Linked DNA regions of Tamandua tetradactyla. The protein of the gene in region 2 interacts with the protein of the main gene of each other region in a pairwise test. Links are inferred from orthologs where the notes say so. Each region holds a gene or a part of one and is shown on either strand. Other genes may lie near its edges. The genes, in order: UBE2V1, FAM168A, UBASH3B and SF1.

Region 1 (7,703 bases), on a different chromosome or scaffold from region 2:
CTTCCCAATCCTCTTCTACAAGGGTTGTGCCAATTTATACTCTCACAACAACTTTTGAGAGTGCCTGTTACCTCACACCCTTGCCAACAGAGTACATTATCGAATGTTCTGTTCTCTGCCAATCTGATAGGTGGTTTTAATTTGCATTTCTCTTAGCGAATTACAGGGAATCTAAGATATCATCCATTGTAAGATGCATCCTGATTCCAGAGATGTTTGAATGTAAAACTTAGATTCAATGAAATACAATACGTAGAATGAGATTGGGTGTGTCTTATCATGAGCTTAAAAGGCATTTGGATCTCTATCTCAAATCCCAGCTCTGCCACTTATAAACTGTGTTACTTTGGCAAGTTACTTATCCTGTTTGTGCCTCAGTTTCCTTATCTGTAAAATAGGGATAATAATGGTACCTACCTCATAGGATTGTTGTGAAGATAAAATGAATTAATATGTACAAAATACTATGTGCCTAGAACATAGTAAATGCTCAATAAATGTTTGCTATGATTATTGCTTTCTTTTGGGTTCATTTTTTTCTTGACAAAAATGCAAGAGCTCTTTATAAATGAAGGAAACTCATCCGTTTTGTCATTCTCCTGCCCTGTATCCCTAGTTTTTATTCCCTTTTTTCCTGACCATAAAAGTACAAAATTCAAACATTACAGAAATAAATTGTATAGGAAGAAGAAAACAGAAACAAACCAGATAGCACCATGACCCCTACCCATCCACTCCTAACCCTTTTAGGTAGCATATTTTAGCAACTACGTAAAGGATCTACCTTTATATAAAATATCTACACATCGCACATGAAAATCACAATTGTGCCTAATGCTGTAGTGCATGGCTCACGTGGGGTCCATGGGTCCATGTATGTGTCAAAACAGCACCAGCCAATGTGTCATGCCCACTGTCAACCACAGACTCCTCCCAGGGATTCTATGATCCATTTTCTGGTGGTCTGTGGCCCTTCCTGTCAACAATTTGTCAGCTTTACTTTCAATAGTTTTTATTATACAGGCTATAGCAGGAGGGTTTTTTTTTTCCCTTAACTATAAGTAAAAGTACAGCCATAACATTATAGGATGCAGTCCACACCTTGCTACCCAAAGTATGGTCTGTCAATCGGAGAGGCATCCCCTGGGGGATTGTTACAAATGCCGAATCCCAGTGCCATCCCTGGAAGTCGGACATCAGATTCCGCATGTGGCTGTTCAAAGCTGTATGTACCCCAGAAAAAAAATGTTCTTAAATTTAATCCATTCCTGTGTGTGAACCTGTTCTAAGTGAGGTTACTTAACTAAAGTGTGATCTGCCTCACTCAGGATGGGTTTAATCCTATCCTGGAGTCCTTTACACAAGAATGAAATACAGACAGAGAAAGCCACGGAAGCAAGAAGCTGAAATCAAGGAAACCTGAAGGAGAAGGGAGAGCCCAGGAGATGCCACCCTGTGCCTTGCCATGTGACAGAGAAGCCAAGGATTGCTAGCAGCCGGTCTTCAGGAAGAAAGCAACATCTTGAGGATGCCTTGATTTGAACATTTTTCCTGGCCTCAAATCTGAACAAACATATTTCCACTGTTTAACACAGCCGTTTCCTGTTTGCTTTAAGCAGCCTACGAAACTAAAACAGCATTTCAGCAAGATCTCTAGTAATCAGAGTTTGAGAAGCATTGCTTTAAAAATTAAGATATAGATCTTATAAACTATATTGAATATTATGTAGACTACAAATACAAATATGTTGAAAGGTTTTACATTTTGAATATACTTTTTCAAACGCCTTTCGTAGCCTGGGCGTTTTCCTACCTTTTTGAGATTAGAGTTTTTGAATGAACACCATGGAACAATCCAGGTAAATTTACATCTCTTGGCTGGACTCCTGCACCAGCTTCTTGAATCTGTTAAGTGTACTTTTTGCTGTCAGTAACAGAGACCTACCTCTAAGAACAGCTAAAGCAACAGTTGTTATTTCATGTCTTAAGAAGTCTGTAGGTAGGTAGTCTCAGGATTCCTTCAGTAGCTCATACCATCCAGGACCTAACTCTCGCCATCCTTCTGTGCTGGCATCTTTGGTGTGCTAGCTTTTTTGGCATTAGGCATGTGCATCAGCATCGTACCATGGCTGCCACAGCTCTGACCATCACAACCTCATATGGTCATTAGAAGGAAAAGGGACAAAAAGGCTCTCTCCCTAGCTAGTATTAAGGGGAGAGAAACTTTCTAAACATCCCCCTCCCTGGCTAATTGGCCAGAACAGGGACACAGGCACACCACTGGACAAATCACTGGCAAAAGGAAACAGCAGTCCCCATGACTGGCTTGACCAAATCATGATTCACACCTAGCATCACACCCGTTTCTGAGCAATACTAGGTTTGGCAGCCAACAGCGTCTGTCACACCTCCCCTCCAGAGTGCCCCATCCGTCTCCTTGAGACAGCCAGGCTGCACTTTCTAAAAATGCAAACCTGCCCATGTCCTGCTTAAAACCTCTGACGTCCACCTGCCTCACAGGGAAAACGGCAGGTAGGACAGGGTTAAGGGACATGAGTTCTAACCTGATTTTACCCCCTTTCTTTGTTGTGTGACCCTAGGAGAGGCATTTAACTCGCCCCAACCTCAGTTTCCTCGCCTGAAAAACGGAGACTAACGTCTTTATAGTGACTTTGCAACGGTCACTGAGGATAAAACAAAAGGAGGCTAAAAGGCGCTAATACTCACATAGCCCCTACTCCGTGCGGGCACTTCCTAAATCCCTCAGTTCTAGTGATGTCTCACTCATCCCAGCAACCCGATAAAGCAGGGCTCTTGCCCCAGCCGCTGGCGCCACGAGCGCTGACGCTGAGCGGGGCCGAGCGGAGCCGGGCGGGGCCGCGGGCGGATGCGGGGTTGGGCCGTGGGGGGTGCGGGGTGGGGCCGCAGGGGCCTGCCGCCGAGCGCAGGGGGAGGGCCGGGCGGGGTGCCGGCCGGGAGCAGCCGCGGGCGGGTGCGGGCCGGCCGGGCGGGGCACCACAACCCCCAGCGTGCGCCGGCCAGCACCCGGGGAGGCCTCTTCCGCGTGGGCTGGTCGCTACTCCAGGCAGGCTCGTGGGGTTCCGGGGCAACACTTCGCTTTACTGTCAGTTTACCGCACGAAAAGGCGGATACTATTGTCCCCCTTTTCAGAAGGCGGAACCGAAGTCAGGACAGGTAAGTCCCACAGCAGAGCGCGCGGCGGGGGAGGGCTGCCCCGCGGCCATTTCCCTCCAGAAGACGCTACCACGACCCAGAGTCCAGCGCAGGGATCTCCTCCAGGCAGCCCCGCGATACACGGATGAACGTCAGGGCGCATCACGCGTGGCCCTCAGAGAGCCGATTATAGCTTAGACCTGGCTAGAGAGACCAGGGCAGGCTCCCTGCGGCCGTGCGGCGCCCGCGTTCCTGAGACAGAGAGGGGACGGCACAGGCAGGGGCCCTAAGGAGGGAGGGGCACGTCGGGGTCCAGGTTTCGAGAAGCCCACAGCAGCTCTGGGATGCGGACAGGGCCGCCAGGGCCTCGCGGGCAGCTTGGCCGTCCAAGCTGATCCACGCCGGAGCTGGTGGACTCTGCAAGGTTCCAACAGGCCCCTTTCCTCCTGATGACTGTCCCTGCTGGACGATTAAGTCCATGGTTCCTCAGTTTGGAGGTCTGCATTTTACCCAGGAGAAACGGGGAGCCACTGAGGCTTTAGAAGGGTGTTTTGAGCAGATCTGTCATGGAGAACGGCCCGTGGGGGCAAGAGCGGAAGCCTCTGCGGCCATCAAATCAGAGACAAGGGCCGCCTGCCCCGAGTGGGAGAAGGGGATGGAGTTGAGAGACGCTTCCGAGGCATTCCTGTCAGAACAAGGCGGTGCAGGGGCGCGCCTGGCCAGCGCTTCCAGCTTCTCTGCCCCCCCCCCCCGTCCTTCGTCTCCCGGGTTTAAGATGCGGACCTTGAGCCCGTCCCTTCTCCCCTGTCAGTCCAGTCTTCAGATCCGGATAAGAGCCCATGGGACTCTTGGATTTAACTTGTGTCCAGGCCTTTGCTGTTTCCTCTACCCCTTCTCACCTGCAGGTTCGGATGAAACGCGACCGCCTCTGGGGGCCCTCCGTGACCACCCCTGCCGCCCCTTCTCTGATTTACTCTCCTTTCGATCATAGCCATGATAAGAAAAAATGTCCTTTCCTATTTAGTTGTCTCTCTGTGGATCTCCTCTGACTAGAACGTAAGCCTTTAAGAGCGGGAACTTACTTCTTCAGGGATGTTCGTCCACCCCGGTGCCTGGCACAGCGCCTGGTACACAGTAGGTGCTTACTAACTATGTCTGAAGGCGTGGATGGGCGACTGCTTTCCCTGCCCGCTCCATGCCCCTTCAAGCCGGCCGCGGCCAGCAGCGGCTGTGGGTGCGACCCTCCGCGCGCCTGGCGCTGTCACAGAACCCGGCGACGCGGCCGCTGGAGGCCCTGACAGACCGGGAAAGCCCGGGTGACCGGGGCTGGATTCTGACGCGTTCCCTCTCGAGTCCCAGCACCCTAGCCCTTCTCACCAAGCACCTCGGTGCCTCTCTCGCACCGCGCCCGGAGGGACTCCTCTCCTCGGGTAATTCCTCTCTCAAAACGGAAAGTAAAAACCGTCCCGACAACCCGGCGCAGGGTGCGCGGAGTGGGCCTCAGCGACGGCGTCTGCGCATGCGCGCGCGGTTGCGCATGCGGACCCGGGCCGGGCGGGGGGTGAAGAAGGGGCCGGCCTTCGAGCGACAGCGACGCAAGATGGCAGCCACCACGGGCTCGGGTGAGCGGGGGCGCCGGGCCGCAGCCGCCGGGGCGCGGGGTCGGGCCGGGAACCCGGGACTCACAAAGACCCTTGCAGCCAGGCCAGGGCACTTGCGCTGCCTCCGTCCTCTGGGCGCTGAGGCGGCAACCAGGGCGACCCTACGAGGGAGGCGGAGCAGGCGGTGGCCGGAAGCACGGGCGGGGGCCTGAGGGGCCTGTGGGCGGCGCGGCAAGGCCCAGAGGCTCCCCCGGGCGGCCTGTGGGTCCCTCTGGGAGGAAGGGCCGGGCCCAGCGGCGCTGCTGAGAAACCGGAGTAGGCCGGGGTGAGCCCTGAGGGCACAGCTGGGAAAGCTGGGACTGGCGGCGCCTTGGGAGAGCTCGAGGGGGGTTCTCTAGAGGATGAGCATGCACCCCCAACGCGGCAGGAGCGCCCGACTGGGTGCTGGGAGCCCGGGTGACGAGGGGGCCGTGGGATATTGGTTTTGAGGAGACATCAGAGAAGCCCATCAGGATGGATGGGAGGAGGAAACGGATCTTGAGGGGATGCCTGAGAGGACCGCCCCCATGGGTTAAGGGGCTCCAGTCGGTTTTGGGGATGGGGTTGGCTGAGGAAATCTGCGTGTTGATTAGAAAGGAGGAAGCCAGGGGTCGCTACTTTGGGAGGAGAATAAGGGTATCTCCACAGGATGAGTGAAGGGGAAAATGGAGTCAGATTCCAGAGGGATCTTGTCGGGGTGACTGATAGTGAAATGACCCCATCATTACCAGGCACTTATTCAAAGGGACAGATGGGTTCCTCCGAGTTAGATTTTAGAAGGCAAGCTCTGAATTGGGCAGTTCCTGGAAGCCTCCGATGTTGGGTGAGGGGAACAGGGTGGAAACTAGGGGTGTCTGTGGGAGGGGGAGGGGATCAAGTGAGGGAAGCCCCTCGCAACGGGTAAGAGTGGGAAGAGGTCAGGTTGCAGAGATGTTTCAGAGAAGAAAAATCTCCTCTTTGATTGGACGGTGGGAACATACCTTAGAAGTGCCTGTTTTGCAGAGATTGCCTGCACCTCACTCCCTTCCACCTCTGGATATTGGAGATACATATGTATGTTCAGATGGGAAGTTTCTCAATGGCTGGAGGTGGAAGTTGAGGGGGAGAAACAGATGAAATAGGAGCACCAGGGTAGTTGTTTGGATAAGAAAGGCTGAGCAAACCCCCACTTCTGAATGGACAGCAGAAACAGGGAGTTTTGGGGGGAGGCAGGGGCGGGGGGGGGGGGTCTCCTTCCAGTCTCTAGATAGGTCGAGGGAGACAACACTTATTTTGATACTCAGTTCCCCGTGATGGACCAGAGGCTCAAACTCCAAAAGGTGTGTTTCAGGATTAACACTCTACAGGTTGGACATCAGGGGGTGGGCTCAGCTGGCCTTTGCGGGGGGGTGGGGGGGGCAAGGCGGTGGGTGGAGATTGGCTAGGGGTGATGGCTGATGAAACCAGAGAATCAGATTGGGGAAGAGCAGAGTTTGGGGGAGACAGAGTGTTCCTCTTTTGGTAAGGACAGCAGGCTTGGCCAAGTTCTCCCAGACGGGATGAAGATGGGTAGCCCCTGATGGATGAGGCAGACCCGACCACACTGGAGAAGAGAGTTCGATGCCTGCAGGGACACCAACTTAAAATCCCCAGGCTGTTTAAGGCCACGGTGTTGGGTGAGGGTTGGTGACCAACGAGGAACTGAGTGTGGGCAGCCCGTATTTCTAGGGTGTTGCTCTTCTCTGAAGGTCATCAAGTACCCCAAGAAGCCATCCTATTGTGATTGTTAGGGTGAGGAATTGGAGGTCTGACAAAAGTGATCCACCACAGCCTGCCTTTGACACTCAAAGCAGTGGGTCTGTTTGGAGGATATAGAGACTTCACATTCCTTTCCTAGGCTTTTTTTTTTTTTTTAAGTTTGAACAGTGCTGAGTTAATTCATTTGCTGAGACACTGCCGCAGACACTCCCAGAAGATAGAGGCTGAGTCAGGCCAGTCTTCTGTGGGAAACTTCTCATCAGAAAAACACCCCTGCCAGGTTGCTAGGAACTAGGGGATGGTAGGGCTTATGGCAGCCAGCGTTATGGCGGTATTGCAGCTCAGCCTTCGAGACTGGCTTCCTACAATCCGGTTTAACAGCTTCTTAATTCTGACTTCTTGAGGCCCTACCAATTGAAGAGTGCTTCGTAAATGCTGTAAAGCATTCTCAGTGTCAAGCTAGTGGAATATAAGAGCATTTGGTGTGATTTAAGATAACAGAACAGACTTTAAGGTATCCTAAAATGGACTTTCCAAAACTCCTTTGTTTATTCAACAAGTATTTACTGAGGTCCTTTTATGTCCCATTGCAAGTAATGACAAGATGGATATGGGCCCTGTCCTTGAGTTGCTTCTGTTCTAGTGGGGGAGAAAGGCTTTAAGGGGGAAATAAATAAGATGGTTTCAGATAGCAGTGAGTGCTATAAAGGAGATTGTGTGGTATGATGGCAAACATCTGGAGAAGTTGTTAGGGAATGCTTCTCTGATAAGGTGGAGTTCGAACTAAGGCAGTGATTGAAGGAGTGAACCCTCAGACTGTGCCACAGGCAGGAGAGGAAGTGAGTGCAAAGCCTCTGTGGTAGGAATGAGCTTGGCATGTTGGAAGAACAGGATAAAAGTGTAATATACAAGGGAGGCTTGTTAAGGAGATGAGTTGGAGAGTATATGGCTTTGGATTTTATTGAATACAAGGGGAAGGCATTGAACAGTGCCTTTGAATAGCCATTGAACAATATGAAGCAGGCATTCAGTAAATATTTCGTGAATGAATGAATAAATGAGAGAATGGGAGTCCTAAAAAGCAGAGTTACAAGATCTGACCTGTGCCCTTAGGCAGAGAAAAGAGTACTAAGTGCTAAGAGTGGAAGCAGA
Region 2 (7,124 bases):
TCAGGGAGCAGGCTAGGGGCACTAGGAAGTTAAGGTAAAATGAGTGCAGGGTTTCTATTTTGGGTGAAGGGTAAGTTTTAGTAATGGATGTTGGTGAGGGAACTGCAACATTGTAAATGTGATGTATCCCACATGGTATATTTGTATATTTGGGAGGGGTTGGGATGGGAAGGTTTGTGTTATACATGCGTTTCCAAAATTAAAAAAAAAAATGAAATAAAGATAAACTAAAGAAATTATGACAATTAAATGCAATACATGATCCTGGATGGGATCTAAAAATGGAGGAGAAAAAGCACAAAAGGACATTACTGGGACATAAGAAAAATTTGTAGTATAGAATGTAAGCTTCATACTAATGTTAAACTTCTTGTACTTGGTACCTGCACCTAAGGTGATTATATAAATGATTATCTTAGTTTGTAGTGAATGAACATGGAAATATTATGTGTTCAAGGAGTATGATGTGTGCAACCTGCTCTCAGATGTTCAGAAGATAAGAAATAGAAAGAAGGGTGGGCCATAGCTGCTCAGCAGGCAGAGTTCTTGCCGGCCATGCCAGAGACCTGGGTTCGATTCCTGGTGCCTGCCCATGCTGAAAAAAAAAAAATAGAAAGATGCTAAAACGATACAGCAAAGATGGCAAAATGTTAAATTTGGTGGCTCTGGGTATCCATCTGGGAGAGGGGGGGTATGGTGGAGTCCTCTGTATGCGGTTTGTATTATTTTTTCAACTGTAAGTTTGAAATTATTCTAAAATAAAAATAAAAAAATTCTATTGAAAAAGATAACTGATTAATAGAATCTTTCTTATATAATTTAGAGAGAAAAGAATAGCTCTGGGTGAAAAGTCAATATAGAAAAAAATAAAGTTAGAAGTTGTTTAAGTGTGCTACACAGAAAATTCATCAACGAATAAAACCGACTTCAATGTATTAATTCCTTAAATACTTTCTTAATGGAATTCATTAATTTTGCTGTAATTCTGAGTAAAAAGTTTACATTGTTTAATTTGGCAGAGATTTGGAGACAGAATTCTAAAATTAGATAAAGGGTCTGGACAATAAATGGTCCTTTACAGTCTTGGAAGCACTTTCACACCTATTGTCTTACTGGATTCTTTTAAAAGCTTTATGGGGTGGGCCATGGTGGCTCAGCAGGTAAGAATGCTTGCCTCCCTGCCATGCCCAAGGACCCGGGTTTGATTCCTGGTGCCTGCCCATGTTAAAAATAAAAGTAAAAAGCTTTATGAAGGTCAGTGCAGAAATAATTCCTTCCTTTTTATAGATGTGGACATTGAAGTTCACAAAGTTAAGACTACTTCAAGCTCACCCAGCATAGCAAGGTCTGATTTATGTAATTTATATAGCTTCTTCATTCCTATTCCTCTAATGCTTTGTACCCTGGACAGACCAGCACCCTTCTAATTTTGACCTCCCAGGCCCCACTATCCCCCCCTGGAAAAAGTGGGGAAAAGGAGAAGTAAAGTCAGGGTTTAGAAGAGAAGATGGTCGATACTACACTTAGAGATGGGAAGGGACCTGTCCATCACAGAGCAGTCTCATCTTATGCTCAGAAAAGCAAATAGAAGATTTAGGATTTCAAGGCCGGAAGAATAGGATGAAAAACGAACTAGGAAGTTTGAAAACGACAGTGCCTGATGTACTTGGGTAAAATAAATCCTGAGGGGTAAGAGTATAAATGGACCGAGATGGGACAAATCTGGAGATAGGCTGCAGCAGGACAGTTATCTTGGGAGCTAGGTAATCTAGGCTTTTTCCTAGTGGGCAGGGTAGTGGAGCTCGAATATCCCGGTGTTTCTTGCAGGACAGCAAAAACACTAACATACAAAATTGAAAATTTTAATTTATTTATAATTTTTATAATTTAATTTTAAAAATTTATTTTAACTTTTTTATTGTATAGTATAACATATATACAAAGCAAAGAAATAAAAAAAATAGTTTTCAAAACACTCTTCAACAAGTAATCACAGGACAATCCCAGAATTTGTCATGGGCTACCATATGATCCTCTCAGATTTTTCCTTCTAACTGCTCCAGAATATAGGAGGCTAGAGGACTTACATATTTTTTTATCATCACAATAGACTTTTCCCCCTTTTTTTGTGAAAAATAACATATATACAAAAAAGCTTCAAAATTTAAAGCACAGCACCACAATTAGATGTAGAACATATTTCAGAGTTTGACATGGGTTACAATTCCACAATTTTAGGCTTTTACTTCTAGCTGTTCTAAAATACTGGAGACTAAAAAGAGATATCAATTTAATGATTCAGCATTCATATTCATTTGTTAAATTCTATCTTCTTTATATAACTCCATCATCACCTTTGATCTTTCCATCCCTCTCTTTAGGGGTGTTTGGACTATGGCAATTCTAAATTTTTCTTATTAGAAGGGTCTGTCACTAATATGGGGTAGAGATATGGAACTATCTGATGTTCTGGAATAGCTGGGCTAGGTTTCAGTACTTATCTGGATCAGGGAACCATCTGGAGGTTGTAGGTTTCTGGAAAGTTACTCTAGTGCATGGAACCCTTGTGGATATAATTTAATTTTAATTAAAATACAATGTAATTGAATACATGATTTATGCTGAATCACAGATAATCTGATACTGCACTCTAGAAGAGATGGACACACAGGTGGTCGAAGGAAAATTCTCCCTATTAACTTATTTTATTTTCATCATAGTGACCACTATTATTTGTTTTACCAGTGCAACTCTTGAGCTCACAGAAAAGCCAGATAGGCATAGACCTGGAATATTGCTAATGACGAGAAAACTAAAAGTTTTCTTTAGTTTGCTTTAGACTTTGAAATTGTATTTTTTCAAACTAGTCTTACAGCCTAAAAAATAAATATATATGAGCTCCTTTTAAAAAATTCAGACAACATGAAAATAAAAATTACTTGAAATCTGACATCTTTCCCTCTAAGACAATCACCAATAATATTTAGGGGAACCTCTTTCCTGAACTCTCTATGCTTATAGAAGAAGCAACTTCAAACTTCGCATAAATCGGACCCTTCTAAATATGCTATTTTGCAATCAACGTTTCCTCAACAGTGAATTGTGAATAAGCTCTCCATGTCAATAAATAGATCTATACCATCACTTTTAATGACTTAGCACTTTATTGTATGTATATATAATTTAACCAACCTTCTATTGATGGACATATACATTATCCCCACACCCCTACAACCTCATGTTCGATCATCCTTTTAAGGTTAAGTTTTTTTTGGGGGGGGGGGGGCGGTGCACGGTCCGGGAATCGAACTCGGGTCTCCAGCATGGAAGACCGGAATTCTCATCACCGAACTACCCGTGCACCCTAAGGTAAGTTTTTAAAAGTAATGGAGCTGAGTCAAGAAATACACCCTTTCTGCATTTAAATTCAAATTGCGAAATCGTCCTAAGATTTGCTGGGAGACCACTGACGAAGCTGCTGCATTAGTCCTGGTGTTAGACATGTGAACCGGAATGACAAGTAGAATACAGACTCACAAGTCATCTCGCCCATCTGGGCTTGTCCTTGCTGGGTTGGCATATTTCTTCCAGTTTTCCTCTTTTTCTTAACATGGGGGAAGAAATGAGAACTGCCTCTCCCGGCATTTCGCAGGGGCCACACTTATTCCAAACTGCAATATTGGGTCTGAGAAAGATCCGGAAGGCGGGCCGGAGGCTGCGTGGAATGCTGGGAAATGTAGTTCATGGGTGGCTGTATTCGTGTGTGTTTGTGCGTGGGTGTGCGCGTCTATATGCGTGCGCTAGTGGGTGTCGGGGGGAGGGGCGCGTGGACACACCGCGAGATTCTTTACTTGGAGATGAAGCTGCCGGACAGCCTGACTTCCCTGACGTATGGTCACTGTGTTTACAAAACCCGCCGGCGGATGGCTGACGTTATTCTATTGTCCGTGACCAAGGAGGGCGCAGTGCTTCTGCACTGAGCGCGACGCTAGGGCTGTAGGCCGCTCGCAGGTTGAGCGGGGAATGCTGGGAGTTGTGGTCCTAGCGCGCTGAGACCGTGGGACGTGTCGCGGCGCCGCGCTTGCTCCTCCTTCCCCGCCCATCTCAGCGGTCTCCCGCCCCCTCCCTCCGCCTCCACCTCCCTCGCCCCGCTGCCGAGCGTCCCCTCCCCCCACCCGTCGGGCTCCTCGGCCGCTACTGCAGAGGTTTCAGAGCCGAGTCGCTGAGGAGGAGGCTCCAGGACCCTGCGCGCCATCCGCCACCCTACAGGACACGGGCGAGGAAGCGAGAGCGTCGCCACTACAGCCGCCAGAAAAGACAAGGACATCGCCGTCTCAGCCGCCGCCACCCCCGTTTTCGCCTGCAGCCTCTCGCTGGTGAGGAAACCCCCCTCCCCCCTTCCAGGGTCCACTCGTCCTCAGCCCCGGCCGGTGGTACTGGGGGAAATGAGGGTGGGGGCTGCAGAGCCCCCGGGCGGGTTGGGGGGAGGGGGCTGAGGTCGCGTTGGAACGGCGGGCTGACGAGGGAGATTTGTCCAGGCGCGGACTGGGGGTGGGGTGGGGGTGGGACCCAGCAGGGTGCGGTGGGGGAAGATGAGGGAAAGGGACTTTTAATGGGGAATGACCCTAGTTGGGACGGGAGCGTAGGTGGGAGTCGCATGGGGTTGGAATTTGGGAAGGCCTTGGGGAGAAGTGGGAGATGAGACTGAAGTGGGGTGGCCTTTAATGGGGGAGGGGGCTGAATGAAGGTGGTGGTTTTGAGGTTGGCCTGAAACAGTTGACAGCTTGGGGTCCTAGCTGGGTGGGGGTTAGGGACTTGAATTCAACAGACTGTGGGATGTACAGGGCTTGGACTGGACCCTGGAGCGTGTTAATTCAGGAGGAGGGAATGTGGGGTGGACCGGGGTAGGCTGATGGAGGTGGTAGGAGCTGGGGCTGAGGGTCTGGCAAGGTTTGAGATCTGAGACCGGAGTGGGCATTTGCCACCTGGGGGTGGTGGAATTTGTGGTGACTTATGGAATAGCAGGGCTTGGGATAGAGCAGAGGAGGTGGAATTCAGTTTTTCCTGGGGTGGGCTGATGGAGGTTGGAATAATTGCAGATAGGGGTAAGGCTTTTAGTAAGAGGAGTGTAATGGTGAGCTGGCGGGAGGAAGGGAAATTGAAAGTTAGGTCCAAAATGGACTGACAGGTTTTGAGATTGAAGGGAGGCATAGTGGGTTGGGATTTAGGGTGATCTTTGAACCACTGTAAGAGGCATGATGGCTCCCTGGGGGCAGGTTCCAGGCAGAGGGCACTGAAGAAGGGCCTGGGCTGGACTCACTGAAAGAATAGTGGCAGGTGGTGAGCATGGTTGTGGAATGGTATGTTGAAGAAAATGTCCTTTAGCCAAGGTGGAAGAGGGAGTTTTGGAGAAGTGTTTGAGATAACCTGGTTGGACTAGAGCAGTGGTTGATGATGGTGAGGCGGCAGAGGGGGAATTTAAAGAGTGGAAGACCTGGAGTTGTGGGAATAGATGGGTCACAGAAGATGGAAAGGGGTAGTGAGCAGTGCTGGGAAGAGGTGGGTTGGGCCTCCAAGAGACACAAGAGGGTTAGGGGTTGGAACACTTAAATGGACATCTTTGGTGGCTGTGGTTGGTTAAGAGGTTTCTTATAGGAGGCTTTGTAGGGAACAGAGAAGGTGGTACATTAAAGATACATTCCTAGAGAACCTCTTAAGAGGCCTTTGATCTTATTGTTTGTTTCATTTTTATTAGAATCATATTTGGAAGCGAAGTCAACCCAGAGGATGAAGTTGAGAGGGGTTTCTGTTAGGGTAGAATTAAGGAAGGGGGTGTGTGTTTTCTTTCTGTTAGTTCATATATCACAAAAAGAAAGTTGGAGGAAAAAAAACCCACCCCCCAAATAAAGGTGGGTGAAGATGGAAATGGAGTGTGATAAATATCTTTCTGTATGATGTCTCTGCTTTCTCTTTTCCCCTCCTCTGGTGCTCTTAAGAACTAGTTCTGGAATTTTAAATTTAAATAGATTTGATGAGATTGAGGTTGTTAAGGGAGCGTCCCTTGCTTGAGAAGTGATGAATGGGACTGAAAAATATGAGACTGGATTTATTTTCTAATCAGCAGCGTGCATTTATATGGAAAGAAAGCGCTTAGGGCCTCCACCCCCCCCCCCTTTAAAATTGATTGCTTGAAGACTCCATTTATTGGTATCTTGGTTTGCAAGGCAATTAGGCCCATCATTGTATTGCAGGGTAATAATCCTGAGATGAGCCTTGGCACCACTGCTTTATGTAAACAGAGAGAAGACAGAAAATATGGAAATGTCATAAATATTCATTGGTAAGACGGTTTGGTAGTGATGGTTTTTTTTTTCATTTGATTCTCTTTTGACATTACTTGATAAGATTTAAAATTATTGGACTATATTTCTATAGTTTGATTTTTCTCCTGCAGGACATTCAGGTGATCAGAATTTTGTCAGATGTAGCCAAATAAGCATATAGAGTCATTTTTATTTTATATTTCAAGGGATGGTGTTGATGTAGGCACATTGCATTAACCTCAGAAATAATATCTCCATTTCTTTATCAGAAATTTGATGTAAAGCTTAGTGATGTTCACTCCCATGCTGGATGGTGATGATGGAAGATAGAGAGGGGTTGAAGGAGGAAGCATCTTTAGAGAAATAGTTTTCTGACTGTAATTATATTAACTGTGATATGTTAAAAACATGAAGTGGCTATTGATTAGAGCTCAGACTAAGAAAAAATGGGGAAGGATAAAATCGGCACTAGTTGGATTAAAATCTTTTTTATTTTTGTTCACACTTCGAAATTCAGCTTGCAAACCATTTTCCCTGGCTTTCACAATTGAACACCTAAAAAAAATCCAATACTTAGAATTTTTTGTAGTTCCAAAATGGTCATAATATGGAAGGTTGGATTACTCTTGAAATTTTGAAAGTGTTTTTGTGAGGAGGATTTCTGTGTTACAGTAAAAATCAGGTTTGAACAGTTGCCCATAATTCTATGAGAATGTAATCTGACTTATGCAAGCAATTCTCATAACTTTACTCTGGGGTCTAGACATTACTTTTGTGGCTCTGCAGGCTTGATCTATAGGT
Region 3 (7,981 bases), about 54 Mb from region 2:
GTTGATGACCTGCTAACTCACTGACAGCATAGGATTGTCGGTTGTTTGTGCGCAAGTTGGCGTGAACAAAGCTCACAATATCTGGTCTAATGGGAGCCTTGAATGCAGCAGGTAAAGTAACATTTCCCCTATGTTTCTCCCTTTACAGAGTATACCCATATCAATGGACGAGCACACGCCACGGTGGAGAGAGAAAACCACCGTCCTCTCCCCCTTTCCTTTCCTTATATTGAATTATGTATGATCTCTCTTTAATGATGGACATTAAAGATCATCTAGTTTAGTATTTTACTAAATGTTTTGATACCCCTAACTCTCTTCCCACAGAAAATCTTACACAAAACCCCTAAGATATAAAATTATTAAGTGTACCTGTTCTAGGAAGAAGCAGCAAGGGCTCCATGCTTCACCCACTCAACTTTCAGTTGGGACCTCAGCTCCACCCCCTGATCCTAAAGTGCCCCTAAGGGTCTCTTGGCAAAGTCTTAGGGATCCACAGCTCAAACCAACCTTCTCATTTGACAGTTGAGAAAACTGAGACCCAGAGAGGGGCAGAGAAAAAATTCAAGTGAGAACTAACACTTGGGGTTTTGCAACCATTCCAAACTCCTTCCTTTCTTCCTTAGCACATGGTTCCAAAATCTTCTGGCTGTGAAGACTCTCCTTGAATGGCTGAAGGCATTTCCAGAGGTTCTAAACTGCTTTCATTTGCCAAGGCAACATGTCAGCCCTTGGAACTGCAGACATCATGCAGAATTTACTGCCTCTTCTTAATGCAGTCACTTGACCTTTTCTCAAGGAGAGAGGAAAGGAGAAGGAAAAGACCTAGGGCAGACTCCAGAAATTGCGAGTGCAGCTAACCAAGCCCATCCCAAGCATCCTATGGCCACTTCCGAAGAGCCATCACATGAACAGAGATTAAACCTTATTCACACGAACTATAAGATCTTTGTGGTTCAGGGTGATTGTGACATGACCGGTGGGTGCAAGGGGACATGACCACTTGCCTTCTCTTTTGAAGGAGCAGCTTGAAGCTGATGTGTCAGCCCCATCTCAGTGCAAGTTCGCATTCCCTTCCCATCCCTCCCCACGGCTAAGAGATACACTGTCAGATGAATTGTCATGCTTCTCTCTTTGCAGTAAATGGACAACTAAAAAGCTGCCTCCAGCTTTTCAAAGTCAACACAATTAAAGCACAATGAATCTTAGTTGCTGGGCCCTCTCCCCTGCAGGACAAATGACAGCAGTCCAAAATAAAACAAGTGCTGTTGGCTGAAGAAGGATGGGGGAAGCTAAGCTGAAATTTCTGTACAAGTGCCCCAGACAAAACAGTTTGTATCTAAGGTGCCTGCTTTTCCATACTGTTTTCTCCAGGCTACCTAAAGCTATTTTTATAGTCGTCATTTCCTCCATTTCACAGCTTGCCTGGAGCAGAAAGGAAAAGACAATTAACTCAATTTTTCTAGAGAAATAGAGATCCAGCACTTCAGTGTCTGGAGGAGTAAAAAGTTCATCAGAATCAGCCGTTTCAGCAGACAAGGCCTTTTTGTCATCACAGCAATGGTGAAAAGTGATTATATGGTCAAATGTTAAGAGTTCAAATCCTGGCTCTGCTACTTGCTAGCCCTGTGACTTCGGCCCAGATACTTTACCTCTTTCTGTTTCAGCTTCTTCATTTGTAAAGTGAACTATAATATAGTAGTAGCCGCTTCATAGACTTGTTGAGGGATTGGATGAGTTATCGATGTGTAGGAAGTTAAGAACCGCATCAGCATTCAATAAGGGCTCAATATATTTGAGTTATTATTTGTATAATACTTTCTGGTTTCCAAAACACTGCCATGGACATTGTTCTCTCTTCTTCACTAGAATCCAGATCCTTTGACTCTCTCTTGGTCTAGGAATTAAGAAATTCAGGACATTGGGTAAGGTCCAGGGTCCTTTACTGAAAACATTCCCAAGACACTAGTCCACAAGGTATGGTTTTCAAGGCTCAGTTCCATCCCTTTCCTTCATGTCCTGGAATAGTGCTCTGCAAGGTCTCTAGAACATGCCCTCTGCTCGGGAAGAAGCTCCCACCCCAGAAATAGGAACTTCCCCTAATCCCTCACCCAGCAGGAGGTAGTTGCTTAGCCGCAATAGCCTGTATCTCCCCATTTCCAAACACCACCGGATATTCTTCAGAAAACCAATTCTGGGCTAAGGGATAAGCTGTGTCATTTCCCCTGGCAAAACCTTGAGTTGCCTTATGAAGCAACATCAAAAAGTAACTCAAGTGCTGGTCACCATCCCTATCCCACCCTCCGTGCAGTTTGAAAAGAAAGGAACATTTTTGGAGAACATTTTGTGTGGTAAGCATCATACTAGCTTATCATAATCCACGCATGTAACAGACAGGGCTGAAGAATGGAGAGTTTGGCAAAGGCACCCCAGCAGGTGAAACCTCTGGCTCTGCATATACAAACTTTCTAAGCTTCCGCAACTTCTGTGAGCTGAGTTTTCTCATCTATAAACTGGGATAATAATAGTACACACCCACAGGGTGGTTGTAAAAAGTTAACCGTTAATTCAGTTATTCTGCTTAGCGCAATGACTGGCATATACAGGAGCCCAATAAATATTAAATTTTGTTATTGTTATTATTACCCCTGAAACAGGAGCAGCTAGGTAGAAGCAGCAAGGGCTCCATGTTTTACCCACTCAACTTTCAGTTGGGACCTCAGCTCCACCCCCTGATCTTAAAGAGCCCCTAAGGGTCTCTTGGCAAAGTCCTAGGGAACCACAGCTTTTTCATTACACCTAGTGGGGCCCTTGTCCTTTACCTCCTGATGAAAGAATTTTAACATTTCCCAGTCACGTTTCTGCCATGAGGCTGGGGGAGAGGCTTCTTTTTTTGTTGTTTGTTTAATTTTTTAAAAAATACCAAAAAACACCCAACAAACACAAACATTCATAATTTTTTATCTATTCCACTCTACATGTATAATCAGTAATTCACAATATCATCACATGGATGTATATTCATCATCATGATCATTTCTTAGAACATTTACATCTATTCAGAAAAAGAAATGAAAAGAAAACAGAAAAAAATCCATACATACCATACTCCCCACCCCTACCCCCACCAATCACCAGCATTTCAATCTAAATTTATTTTAATATTTGTTCCCCCTATTATTCGTCTTTATTCCATATGTTTTCCTCATCTGTTGATAAGGTAGATAAAAGGAGCATCAGACACAAGGTTTTCACAATCACACAGTCACATTGTAAAAGCTATATCATTATAAAATCATCAAGAAACATGGCTACTGGAACACAGCTCTCCATTTTCAGACAGTTCCCTCCAGCCTCTCTGTTACACCTTAAGCAAAAGGTGATATCTATTTAATGTGTCAGGATAACCTCTTGACTTTGTTTGGAATCTCTCAGCCATTGACACTTTATTTTGTCTCATTTCACTCTTCTCCCTTTTGGTCAAGAAGGTTTTCTCAATTTCCTGATGTTGAGTCTCAGCTCATTCTAGGGGTTTTCTCAATCCCTTGATGCTGAGTCTTAGCTTATTCCAGGATTTCTGCCCCACGTTGCCAGGAAGGTCCACACCCCTGGGAGTCATGTCCCACGTAGACAGGGGGAGGGTGGTGAATTTGCTTGTTGTGTTGGCTGGAGAGAGAGGCCACATCTGAGCAACAAAAGAGGTTCTCTTGGGGGTGACTCTTAGGCCTAATTTTAAGTAGGCTTGACCTATCCTTTTTAGGATTAAGTTTCATATGAACAAACCCCAAGATTGGGGGCTCAGCTTATAGCTTTGATTGTCCGCACTGCTTGTGAGAATATCAAGAATTCAACTTGGGGTAGGGAGAGGCTTCTTTGAAGTAAGAATAGTTTTGTCCAGCCTATGATGCAATTCATTCCTTCATGATTAACTGAGCAGTGGTAATCTAGTCTTTCTTTGAATCCGTTTATTGATAGGGAACTCACTACCACAAAAATCAGTCCATTCTAGTTTGAACAGCACTTATAATGAAAAAGTGTCCGTTTTCTGTTCTTTCTTGGTTCTTCTTCTCTTCTGTCCCCCTTCGTGCTCCACCCTCCTTCCACTTCCTCCCTCTCCTCCCCCTTCCTCCTTTTATCTCCTCCTCTCCCTCATCTCCTTTCCGCCTTCGCTTCTCCCTTCCCCTCACAGATCCTGCCAGCTCTGTGAACAGGAGGCCTCACTCCTTCCCCTAGAGTCTTTATCCAAAGTCACTGACCACAGTTATCGGAGGGTGCAGTAGCTCTTCAGTCTAGTCGCTTGACCGCGGGTGGGAACTCGGCCTCCAGTGGCCTTAGCAATCCTCTGGGTTTGGCAGGGTCTTTCAGAAGCAAAGCCTTTTATCTGAGCCTTCTCTCTTGGCTTTCTGATCCATTAGTGTCATCCATCATTTTGCCAGGTTTCCATTATTAGCCCCATCTAGAACCACACGAAACTCGAGATGGATCGATCTAGCGTCTTCAGGCCCAAACTGACTGATAAGCCAAGAAAAGACTGGGGCGCAGGCGGGGGCGGGGGGTCGCCCCGCAGGAACGGCCGCCCACAGGCAGCCTGGGCCGCTTGGGATCCTCCTCCCAGAAGCAGCTCTGCCGCTTTAAGAGAGGGGCGGGGCCGCGGTCCAGGCGAGGCAGGGCCAGCCCACCAGGGTTCCTTTTCCTTTTTGATCCATTCAAAAATTACTCATTGCAAATTCCCGGACTGCTAGGAGAGGAGAAGGCGGGGCGGGAGGGGGGGTGCGAAGGAGTGAGGGCCACTGCGGGCGCAGCGCTGGGGGCAACCGGGGCTGCAGGAGCCGCCGGCGGGACCCGCGGAGGCAGCGCGAAGGCGCTTTTGGCTCCGGTGGCCTCACCAGGAAGCGTCAGAGCTTCGACACCGGGGAAACACAGAGCGGCCGCCGCCGCCTCCTGCACCGCCGCCTCTCGCCCGGCTCCCGGTGTCCCAAGCCCCCCTCGGCGGGCTCAGCCCCGCTCGGCGCCTGCCACCTGGACCATCCGACTGCGGCGTCTTCCCGGCGATGGGCGGCCGCTGAGCCATGGCTCAGTACGGCAGCCCGGGTCCCCTCGGCATGGCCGCGCGAGAAGAGCTGTACAGCAAAGTCACCCCCCGGAGGAATCGCCAGCAGCGCCCCGGCACCATCAAGCATGGATCGGCGCTGGACGTGCTGCTCTCCATGGGATTCCCCCGAGCCCGCGCGTGAGTGTCCGGGCTCGCAGCCCTCGGCGCCCCCTCCCGCCCCGCGCGCAGACCCCTCGGCTCCGCTCCGGCTTGCCTCCCCGCGCCTGCCCCACCCGCCGCGCGCTGCCCACTAACCCACGACCTGCGGAGTGCGGGAATGGGAGCGAGGGCAGCCCCGGACGCATCTCTTCCGGGCAGGGATGCTGGGGGACACGCCGCCGCGCAGAGACCCCTGGCCCGGAGGCTTGCCTTTGGATGCTAGGGTTGTGGGGCGAGGACAGAGGGTTCGAAACCCCGGCTACGGTGCCTGGCGCTCGACCCTCATCCCCCCCACCCCCCACCCCGCGGGAGGGGGCGAAGGCGCTGTCCTGCGCGCTCCCGGAGTGAGGTGTCCGCCGCTGAGTCCCGTGGGGAGGCGGGGCCCGTCAGAGGACTCGGGCACCCTCTCGGTCCTGAAAACTGGACCAGCTGGGAAAAGGCAAGGGAATGCGGGACAGGGAGGTTGGCGCCCCCACTGCAGTGACTTCCAGCTCCGGATGTCGCTTGCCGCTTCGGTTTCCCTCCGGAGTAGGAGGAGCGGGAGCGTGGGTGCTGCTGCGTGTTCATTGATAGGGAGGATGGAATGGGGAAAAGCGATTCCTCCAGGGGACCAGGGTTCTCGTCACTGGTGACGGCAGCGCAGAAACCTGTGGGTGCCTGAGAGTGAGGAGGGGGGAGCTGTCCTCTCTCATCCTTCCTCTCCTTGGAAGGTGGGATGGGGAAGGGCAGAGGTAGGCACAGGTGCATGTGGCAGTCCCAGCCGCCTACTGGGAAGAGGCCTGGTTGTCAAGCACAGGGGGGCTGACAGCAGGTGTCTCCTTAAAGGTGGTCAACTCAAGACCGTGAGGCCAGGCCAATCTCCCCCAGATAAACTGCCCCTGCAGTCTGCTTAGGTGGGGACATGAAGGGCTGGGATCCTGTGGGGCTCATCTTCTTTGCCTCTATGAATTACATCACCCAAATGGGAGAGTTCAGCAAACTTTATCAGAAGGGTCAAGTTCATGAAAGAGCTTTCTTTTCTCTTCTTCTTTTTTCCAGGTGATAATGCTGGGTCTCCCTTTCCCTACCCCTGGCAAAACTAATTCACTCTCTTCTTTTCTACCCTCTTAACTAAAGCACACCCCTGAATTTATCATTCCATTCAGTCCTGCCTCCTGAGACAGGTTGGATTGGCCTTGGAAGGCCACAAAATGGACTGGTGGTTTTCTGCCTCGCATTCACGTCCAACCACATGGGCTCGTGTTAGCAATGACAGAATTACAGGGAGAAGGTGTGGTGGGCTGTGCTGAGTGTGTCAGGTGTGAATGCTGCATCGTAGTTCCTTCGTGGGGATGAGCTGATGTGCATAGCTTTCCAGAAGTGCCGGGAAATGCTGTAGAATTTGAGGCTGAAGCCAGGGTTAAGAAGCCTAAATTGCTTAATTAAGGAAGGAAATACTTAACTACTTAGACTGTCATGCTTGCAGTTAAACTGGCTTTAAAGGGACATCTCAATTCCTGTGCTGGGTTCAGGAGGACTTGTACATGTCCTGACAGATTGGTATGATGCTCTCATTTTGGCTGGCTTACTCTCTGAGATCCCATAAGAGCCAACTTTAATTGAATACTTAGTATACACCATTCTGAGCATTTGACCTCAGATTATCCATTTCATCCTCCCAGCAGCCCAATATACTCATTTTATGAATTGGCAATCTGAGGGTTAGAGAAGTTTCTTAACTCGCTCAAGGTCACAACCCTAAGCACTGAAGCTGCTGTTCAGACCCAGGCAGCAGGTCTGCACAGCTCAGGCCCCAGAGCCAGGATGTAAATGATTTCACGCATGTAAAAAGCTAAGAAAAGTGAATGGCATATAGTGGGCAATTATTAAGTGTGAGCGACTGCATTCCTTTCCTGTGGCTACTGACTGGGTGACTACAAACTGGGTGGCTTAAAACAACAGGAATTTATTCTCCCATGGTTCTTGGACACCAGAAGTCCAAAATCAGCATTGCTGGGCTGAAATTAAGGTGTCAGCAGAGCTGTGTTCCCTCCAGAGGCTCTAGGGGAGAATCCATTCCTTGCCTCCTCCAGCTTCTGGTGGCCACTACAAATCTTTGGTCTGTGACTTCCTCACTCCAATCTCTGCCTTCATGGTCACACTGCCTTCTTGTCTTCTAGCTATGTTCACTCTACCTGTCTCTCTCCTATCAGGCCACAGTAATTGCATTTAGGGCCCATTCAGATAATCCAAGATAATCTCCCCATCTCAAAATCCTTTATCACATATGCAAAATATTTTTTAGTTTATAAGGTAATATCCACAGGCTGTACAAATTAGGGCATGGATATCTTTTGGAGGACTACCATTCAGCCTATTGCAGCTACTTTGATGATTACTAGCACTGCCTTTCCTTCCTGAAGACGTGAAAGAGTAGGTCATGATCAAACAGGCTGTGAGTTGGGTTTACTGCTCCATCTTTCTTAAATTCTCTGCCTCGAAAAGGCTTGGAGGTCACAGGTCTAGGTCAACACCCTGCCCAGGCTTTGTCTCCTCCGCCTCAACCCAGAATGGCTGATGCTGCCATCTTCTCCTTCATAACATAATTCAGGTTGGGAAGAAGTGATACGTCTTCATGGGGCTATCTGAGATTCCCGAGTCCAGGGCTTAAACTTCATTTGGGAACAGTGAGAAGAAAGAGAGCAAAAGCATTAGGCTTTGCTTATGAGAAGCCTCTCCCTTGAGCCGTAA
Region 4 (7,693 bases), on a different chromosome or scaffold from region 2:
AACTTTAACTCTAGTTAGGTCCCTGTTGATGGACATTTAAGTCCTTTCTACTTCTTTGATATTGCAAACAACTGCAATACATGTTCTCACGCCCACGCTGCTCTGTACATACTCCAGTGTGTCTATGAGATGAATTCTTGGAAGTGACATGGCTGGATCAGAGGTGGCCATACTTGTCATTGTCATAGCTAATGTCAAATTGCCCTCTTCAGGCTGGGGTCACATTGGCCTGAATCACTCCTGTGGCTGAGGGGAAAATGCATGGGCACCCAGGATGTTGGGGGAATTGGCCCATAATCCTGGGGTCCTAGAGGTGAGGGCCAAGGGGAGAGGAGACAAGCAGAGCGTGCCTTCGTGATGGCGGGGGATTGGCTGTGTTTGCCATAGTGTGTCCAGAACTGGGTCTTTGCTAAGCTTCATCTTTCCCCATATACTGTATCTTAAACTTACCTGCTGGGCTGTCAGAGAACAACATAGGTGAATTTTAGAAATGTCATACTGCATTAAAACAGCAAATTGCACAAAACTATACGTGCTTTGACACCATTTTTATAAAGCTTAAAAAGCAAAACTAACCCATGTATTGTTTGGTATTCCATGCACCATGATAAAACTCTATTAAATCAAGGAGGAGCAAAGCACAAAATTCACGGTGGTGGTCCTCAGAGGGCACTGGGGCATGGGAGGAGGGAGGACCCAGGAACTTGCAAAGCTACTGGTAGTATCTCGGCTCTCGGGTGGGGTGGCAGGTTCAAGGGGGTTCAGTTTGTAACTAAGTTCCTGACCCTCAGGGGCACCACACATCTCTTGTTATGCATCTGATATAATAAAATGCAATTCTAAATATTTAAAAATAACTAAAACCCCCCCACAAAACCCTATAGTGGCTAAAACAAAACAAAAGTACCAAAAGAATCCTTTCTTAGATGATGAAAGACTGATGAAATCACCTATGAATCACATCTGTGCTCTGCTTTACAGAATTGTGGGTAGAACCCTTGCCCTGTGGCTGCTGTTATTTCTTTAAAAAGAAAAAAACGCTTTGAGGCATAGCTGATGTACAGTAAGCCTTGTGCTATTTGATGAGTTTTGACATATGCATACACCCATGAAACCATCATCATAATCAAGATAATGAAATACATCCATCACCCCCCAAAGTTTCTTCCCTTGGTAATCCCTACCCCATTCCTTCCCTGTCTCCAGGAAACCAGTGATCTGCTGTCACTATAGGTTAATTTGCACTTCCTAGAATTTATATAAATAGAATCATACAGCACATGCTCTACTTTTCTCTGGCTTCTTTCACTTGGCATAATTATTTTGACATTCATCCATGTTGTTGTATGTGTTAATGGTTTATTCCTTTTTACTGCTGAGTAGTATTCCATTGCATGGAGCTTGTTTAGCCAGCGCTTACTGATGGGCACCTGGGAGTGATTCCAGTTTGGGACTATTACAAATAAAACTGCTGTGAACATTCATGTACAGTCTTTGTGTCAATATATACTTCCACTTCTAATGGGTAACTACTTTGGAGTGGAATGGCCGGGTCATATTGCAGGGGAGTATTTCAAGAAATTGCTGAACAGTCTTCCCAAGCAGTTGCAACATTTTACATTCCCACCCAGCAGTGTAGGAAGAGTTCCAGTTTCTCCTTGCTAATACTGTGTCTGGTCAGTCTTCTTAAGTGTGCTGTATTTACTGGATAAATATTTCCTTTTCAAAACCTTTTTTTTTTCTTTTTCGCATGGGCAGGCACCAGGAATAGAACCCGGCTTTCCGGCATGGCAGGCGAGAACTCTGCCTGCTGAGCCACCGTGGCCCGCCCTTCATTTTCAAAACAATTTAAACATCACTTCCCCCCTTTATTGTCTGCAATATTAGCTTCATTTTTTTTTTTTTTTGTTTATAGGAATCATACTTGCTCCTTACAAAAATAAAAATAATAAAGTATAAGGGAAAAAAGCAAAAGTTACGTGAGATTCGTGCTACTAGAGATTGGGACTGTCCATTGTGAATCTATGCCTACAGAGTTATACAATGCTATATAAATGGACTAGTGTCACACATATTCTATAAGTATGAAGCATATTAAAAAAAACTATATTGGGCTCTTAAAATGTGTTAGATAACTTCCAGGCTCACTTCTCCCCCCACTCCTGCATCTTCACTGAGAACCAGTGCTGTATATCCTTCACTAGCTTTTCCTATACAGAACCCTGTGCGAATGCCCTTGCACACATGTATGAGGTTTGTTTTGCAAAAACAAGATCAAGGAATATATATTTCTATGCTGCTTTTCTCATTTAATAACACTTCAGCAGGAAAGGCCCTCCAAGTCAGTTGGTAGTGACTAACTCTTTTTCAAGGCTGCCTAATAGTCCAGACTGTGGATAGTCCAGTTTGTTCAACCATTCACATACTACTGGAAAATCACTTTGTTTCCAGGATTTTGCCACTGCAAACAATTCGAAGTGAATGACTTTGAACACATGATGCAATCACATGCTTCTCTATGGGATTCAAAGGGGGGTATCTGGTTTCCAAAAAAAGGAAATTTATCCACCTTCCTTTTTTGCTATTTATATGAAGAGCCTCATTGTCGCCATAATTTGCATTTCCCTCTTAGGACTGTTGCAACCCTTTCACATTTCTTGGCTATCTGCTTTTTAGAGATTTGTGAGGATGCCAAATCTTACCTGAGGGCTGTGATCCCGGAAAACAGCAAAAGTTAAGAAATCCCCCCACTCTGTGCTCCGGAAAAAGGGCTCACTGCAAAGAACCCCCCTTCCGGAAGTGATTTAGATAAGACTCCCAGATGGTATGGGGGACCGGACACAGACTCTCCAAATTCTCATTCTTCAATTCATCGCTGGACTGATCAGAACAAAATGCCTGTTAACCAAACTTTGGTTAAGCTTCTCTCTTCCTCCAGCACCCTGAACTTTAGCCCATCCTCAGCCGGAGCTAGCACAGTCCTTCCTGGAAACAGGCTGGCCTTCGCCTCCATTCTCTGATTACACCACTCTTTTATCCCACTTCCCCACACCTGGGTCTACACCCCTCTCTCGGAAAGCCTCTTAGCCTAACTCTTGAGACTCTGCTGAACCGGCAGTCAGTGTTCTCCCTGTTGTATATTCTCTTTTCCTATACTCTTGCAATGATCCTTTCAAATAAAGTCCTTACCGGCTCTGGACTTGTCCATCTGACAACTGCCCATTCAGGCTCTTTGCTCACTTTCTCTGATTAAGTTTTTGAGTTTTTTTCAGAGTTACTAGTTCTTTATCTGTCATACGTGTGGCAAATGGTTTTTCTAATCTGTAAATTTTCTATTGACTTTTACCATACAAAGTTTTATATTTTTTTGATCAAGTATGTCTTTTTTTTTTTAATCTTTACTTTATGGTTTCCAAGTTTCCTGTCTTCATAAAGTCAACTCCTAGAATATTTTTATAAATCTGCTAAGTTGTATTCTAGATGTTTGATCATTGTTTATACTTAAGACTATACCATACATTAACTAAATCTTCTTCTGCCTGATTTGAAATACTACCTCAGGTATTTCTACCGCTATCTGGGGAAATTTATTTCAGGACTCTACTACTTTCCACTTTGTTAACGCAACATCAAATTGTTTTCACTCCTGAGTTTATATACCAATGCTGACAATCTGGAAGGCAAGACCTCAGTATTTTCGACAAGTGGGAAACCACGATTTTCAGTCACTCTTCTATATAACTTTAAGGTGATGTTATCAAATCCCGCTTCCCTCCCCACCAAAAAAGAACCCAGTTGGGATTTTGGTGGAAAGATTATACATTCGTGAATTAATTTTAGAATCACAATTTTACAGTGTCTTCCAGCCAAGGTTATACATTCTTGCATCGGCTCAGGTATTGTTTAAAATCTTTCACCAAGACTTAAAAGTTGTTGTTTTCTACTTATTTTTTTAAATCTCCTTTTAACCAGCAGCGTCAACGGATCTGCGGCTGGGGCCCGCGCCGGCCCCTCCCCGCGCCCCACGGTTCCGGGTTACCATAGGGATCTAGGCCTGACGTCACCGAGGGCTTCCGCGCCAGGCCCCGGGGTTGACCGCAAAGGGAGTGGGGCAGAGAGGCGGCCCCGGCATTGACGCCTGCGCACTTCCAGCCCCCGTCCTTTCCGCTCCACCCCCCCCCCCCCCCCGCAGAGTCTCGTTCCCGGGCTCCTCCGCCGCGACTTCTCCTCCAATCCAGCCGAAACTGCCCCCTGGGGGAGGGGAGAAGAAAAGGAATCAAACGAGCTGCAGCCAATCCTACGACACTACGACGCAACCTAGTTTGATTGACTCAATCAATATTAGCCAATGAGGGAGCGCCTCAGCCTCACGTCACAGAGCTGGCCCCACCCCGCACCTTCTTTCCTGGACTCGGGGCTCAGTTCGCGCAGTAACAAATGAAGTGAGTGCCGCGACACCTCTCAGCTCACGAGGCTCCGCCGCCATTTCCTTTCTTGGCCTAACGGTTCGGCCAATCCCAGCGCACATCGAGAGAGGCAAGGGCTCCGCCAATCCGGGGACGCCGATCCCGACCCCTGGCCTCGGTCTGGGCCAATCAAGGCCCCGGCCCCGTCGCCCCCGGCCCGCCCCCGCGGCGCCCTCTCTCCTCCCTCTTTGTGCGTCTCGCGCCGCCGCCGCCGCCGCCGCCCGCCGCCCGCCGCCCGCCGCGTGAGAGGACGGGCTCAGCGCGCTCCGCGGCAGCGCAGTCGGGTCCCCTCCCCCCGGGAGATTCGCGAAGAAGAAGCCGCCGCCGCCGCTGAGGAACAGCAGCCGCAGGCGCCGGTCCCCGGGGGCGCCATGGCGACCGGAGCGAACGCCACGCCGCTGGGTAAGCTGCCCCCCCCCGGCATGCCCCCCCTTCCCGGGTCCAAGGGGGCCTTCGAGCCGGGGCAGCCGCCTGCCCCTGGGCCTGGGGCGGGACTGCCGGGGTCCGGGCCGCCGCCACCGCCGCCCGTGGGATCGATGGGGGCCCTGACCGCGGCCTTCCCCTTCGCGGCGCTACCGCCGCCGCCTCCCCCGCCGCCGCCCCCCCCGCCGCCCCAGCAGCCGCCACCGCCTCCCGGTTCTTCGTGCCCGCCTCCGCCGCCGCCCCCTCCTCCTCCTCCGCCGCTCTACCAGCGCGTGTCGCCGCCGCCACCGCCGCCACCCCAGCCGCCGCGTCAGGACCAGCAGGCCGGCCGGGCCGGCGGGGGAGGAGGTGAGTCGGGCCGAGAGCGCGAGAGGCGTCGCGCGGACCGGCCCGGCCGGCTGAGGGGCGCGCGGCAGTGGCGACGGTGGCTGCACGCGGCGGGGGCGCGCGCGCGCGCGCGCGAGGAGACCCGGGCGGAGGCGCTGCAGGGAGCGCGCGGCCCAGTACTCGGAGCCTGTAGCGCGCAAGCGCGCTGATGGGAGGCGGAAAGGGTGGGGGGGTGGACGAGAGGTTTGCTGTGCGCAGGCGCAATGTGGTAGCCAGGCCTGGCAGTGCAACTCGAAAAACGGGAGGCCCTTAGAGTAAGGGACCCGTGGTGTGGCGGGGTGCTGGGTGTGGAGGCCGGGTAGGCGTGGGATGGCCACCTGACAACGGGGAACGTTCCTTTCCTGGTCCTAGAATTTGGGCACGTTAATAAGTGGCCTGAAAGGGAGGGAAGCGAGCAAGGCCACTCTCCTTACAGTAAGAATTAAAAGGGCTGGGAGTCAGGGGATGTTGATTTTTTTGGCTCTATTTTTTTTTTTTTTTTTGGTGGTGGGGGGAGAGATTCTTTGGTCCACTCTGCCTTAGCTGTTATTTCTTAGTCTCTCACTTCATTTGCTCCAGAGCTCTGTGTCTGATTGCCCCGCCTTCCCTTACTGTTCCTTTAAAGGGTCTTCTCTGGAGACCTGTGTCCTTTGGGAAATAGTTTTTGCGTGGTGAAGAAGTTTCTGCCTTTGTGTGGGGGAAACAGTGTTTGGCTACTTTTGATAACTTTTGTTGAGTTTGTAATACATCTATTCAGAGTTCAAATTGTGAAGGTCTTGGCAGGGAAAATTGAATGCTAGTCTTGATTAACCATTGGAAGAAAAAAATGATCTAAATAGAGCTTTTTCCTTTACTAGTGTGTTATGGTAGGTTGTGTTTTGGGTGCATTCAGGAAGAGATTGGTGAAGGTGGAGATGGGAGGAGGCAGCAGTTCTCCAATATTGCTTTAACTTGTTCCTAATTCTCTACTTTTGTTTTCCCCTGGGGCCTTTCAAGACTTCATGACAGATGTAGTGTGTATTTTCTCAACACTTTATTTTGTTATCTGAAACTTTGTGCTTAGATTTGTTACCTTGTATACACACCTTACATTGTTTTTATGGAGGAAAATTCTAAACATGAAATGTTTACTTCTTTTGACCCAGATCCAGGCAGAAGCCATATGTTTGCATCTGAGTTATGAGGTTTATCTTTGCTAATTAAATTTTTGGTTAACATTTCAGTTTCACAGTCTACCGAGATTTGTGTAATATCCTAAGTATCCTTAACTGCCTATTGGTAGTTACTCTGCTGGTTTATATTTGCATCTGATGGATTTTATCTCCTTTTAGATTTCCCAAGTAAGAAGCGGAAGAGGAGCCGCTGGAACCAGGACACAATGGAACAGAAGACAGTGATCCCAGGAATGCCAACAGTTATCCCCCCTGGACTTACTCGGGAACAAGAAAGAGCTTATATAGGTAAATACACGTTCTGCATACAAATGCATTTTCATACTGTTATTCAGAGCAATATTTCTGTCTGTTGGAAACTTGAGGTTTTAAAGTTTTCTATTTTGAGAAAGCGCTATGTTCAGGTGTACTTTCAAGACTTTCACATAATACATCAGTTTTTACTTAGTGGGTCCTGCATTTGCAGCTCCTTGTTTTGGTCTGTTAACACCATTGTTCTCCTTGAGTGCCAGGAAGGTAGAGGGGCCCACTTAGGAGTGAGAATAGTTCCCAGGCCAGAAGGCCCCCCTCCCCCACCCCCCATCCTTTTCAGCTGCTGTTCAGTTTCCTTACCAGTTGATGAGGTGAGTGCCTTGTGCCTCTGGACACAGCCCCAGTGGCGAACACTGCAGGTATTGTAAACTCAAGTAATTTTTCACTCAGCATGGCCTTTCACCATAATTTCATATTCCTCCTTTTCCCTAAAATGTGGTCTTTTACTTTTTATAGGTACTTTCTGAGGGGGGGACTCAGTTTGAACAAAAAGTGACTCTGAAAGTGTGTTTACAGTTCACCCATTTTACCATTCTGTTGACCTTCCTGTCATCTTTTCTGGTGTGGTTTTTGGAGAGCTATCTTAAAATGAAGGCTCTTGTATCATTACTAAAGGACTCTTCTGAAAAAGGGATACTGCTTCGAAATGAAATGAGGTGGTAGGATAAAAGATCTTAATTGTTGGGAAATTTCAAGATTTAAGAGTGACTGTCCACAGTTAATGGAAATTAACTTCAGGATTACCTTTTTTTTTTAACTACAAGGGTTTTAATGCAAGTTTTACGTTTACCTGTGCTGCTGTCTTAGCAACATTTATTTGATAAATATGATTTTCTACTAACCAAATAAACATCCCCTTGTGAGGAAATTAGGGCAAAGGCCTTTTACTTTTAGAGTTACGAAGCTCTGTGGCTGTCAGAAAACTTCAAGACCAGCATGTTATTTTTGAGAATC

Evidence for each region.
Region 1: the proteins of FAM168A (region 2) and UBE2V1 interact in binary tests that used the Homo sapiens proteins (3 or more experiments, as listed by UniProt). The two-hybrid records come from large-scale screens. The link is inferred for Tamandua tetradactyla from reciprocal best matches to the Homo sapiens genes FAM168A and UBE2V1.
Region 3: the proteins of FAM168A (region 2) and UBASH3B interact in binary tests that used the Homo sapiens proteins (3 or more experiments, as listed by UniProt). The two-hybrid records come from large-scale screens. The link is inferred for Tamandua tetradactyla from reciprocal best matches to the Homo sapiens genes FAM168A and UBASH3B.
Region 4: the proteins of FAM168A (region 2) and SF1 interact in binary tests that used the Homo sapiens proteins (3 or more experiments, as listed by UniProt). The two-hybrid records come from large-scale screens. The link is inferred for Tamandua tetradactyla from reciprocal best matches to the Homo sapiens genes FAM168A and SF1.

Annotation. Positions count from the first base shown.
Region 1 is NC_135327.1:2,664,879-2,672,581, forward strand, and holds the start of UBE2V1 (ubiquitin-conjugating enzyme E2 variant 1), read left to right. Parts: upstream 1-4,685; 5' UTR 4,686-4,693; coding exon 4,694-4,796; intron 4,797-4,994; exon of another isoform or gene 4,995-5,100; intron 5,101-7,703. UniProt on the Homo sapiens protein: Has no ubiquitin ligase activity on its own. The UBE2V1-UBE2N heterodimer catalyzes the synthesis of non-canonical poly-ubiquitin chains that are linked through Lys-63.
Region 2 is NC_135334.1:72,424,079-72,431,202, forward strand, and holds the start of FAM168A (protein FAM168A), read left to right. Parts: upstream 1-4,112; 5' UTR 4,113-4,376; intron 4,377-6,251; exon of another isoform or gene 6,252-6,340; intron 6,341-7,124.
Region 3 is NC_135334.1:18,101,895-18,109,875, reverse strand, and holds the start of UBASH3B (ubiquitin-associated and SH3 domain-containing protein B), read left to right. Parts: upstream 1-4,974; 5' UTR 4,975-5,069; coding exon 5,070-5,230; intron 5,231-7,981. UniProt on the Homo sapiens protein: Interferes with CBL-mediated down-regulation and degradation of receptor-type tyrosine kinases. Promotes accumulation of activated target receptors, such as T-cell receptors and EGFR, on the cell surface.
Region 4 is NC_135335.1:9,768,759-9,776,451, forward strand, and holds the start of SF1 (splicing factor 1), read left to right. Parts: upstream 1-4,692; 5' UTR 4,693-4,837; coding exon 4,838-5,237; intron 5,238-6,586; coding exon 6,587-6,715; intron 6,716-7,693. UniProt on the Homo sapiens protein: Necessary for the ATP-dependent first step of spliceosome assembly. Binds to the intron branch point sequence (BPS) 5'-UACUAAC-3' of the pre-mRNA. May act as transcription repressor.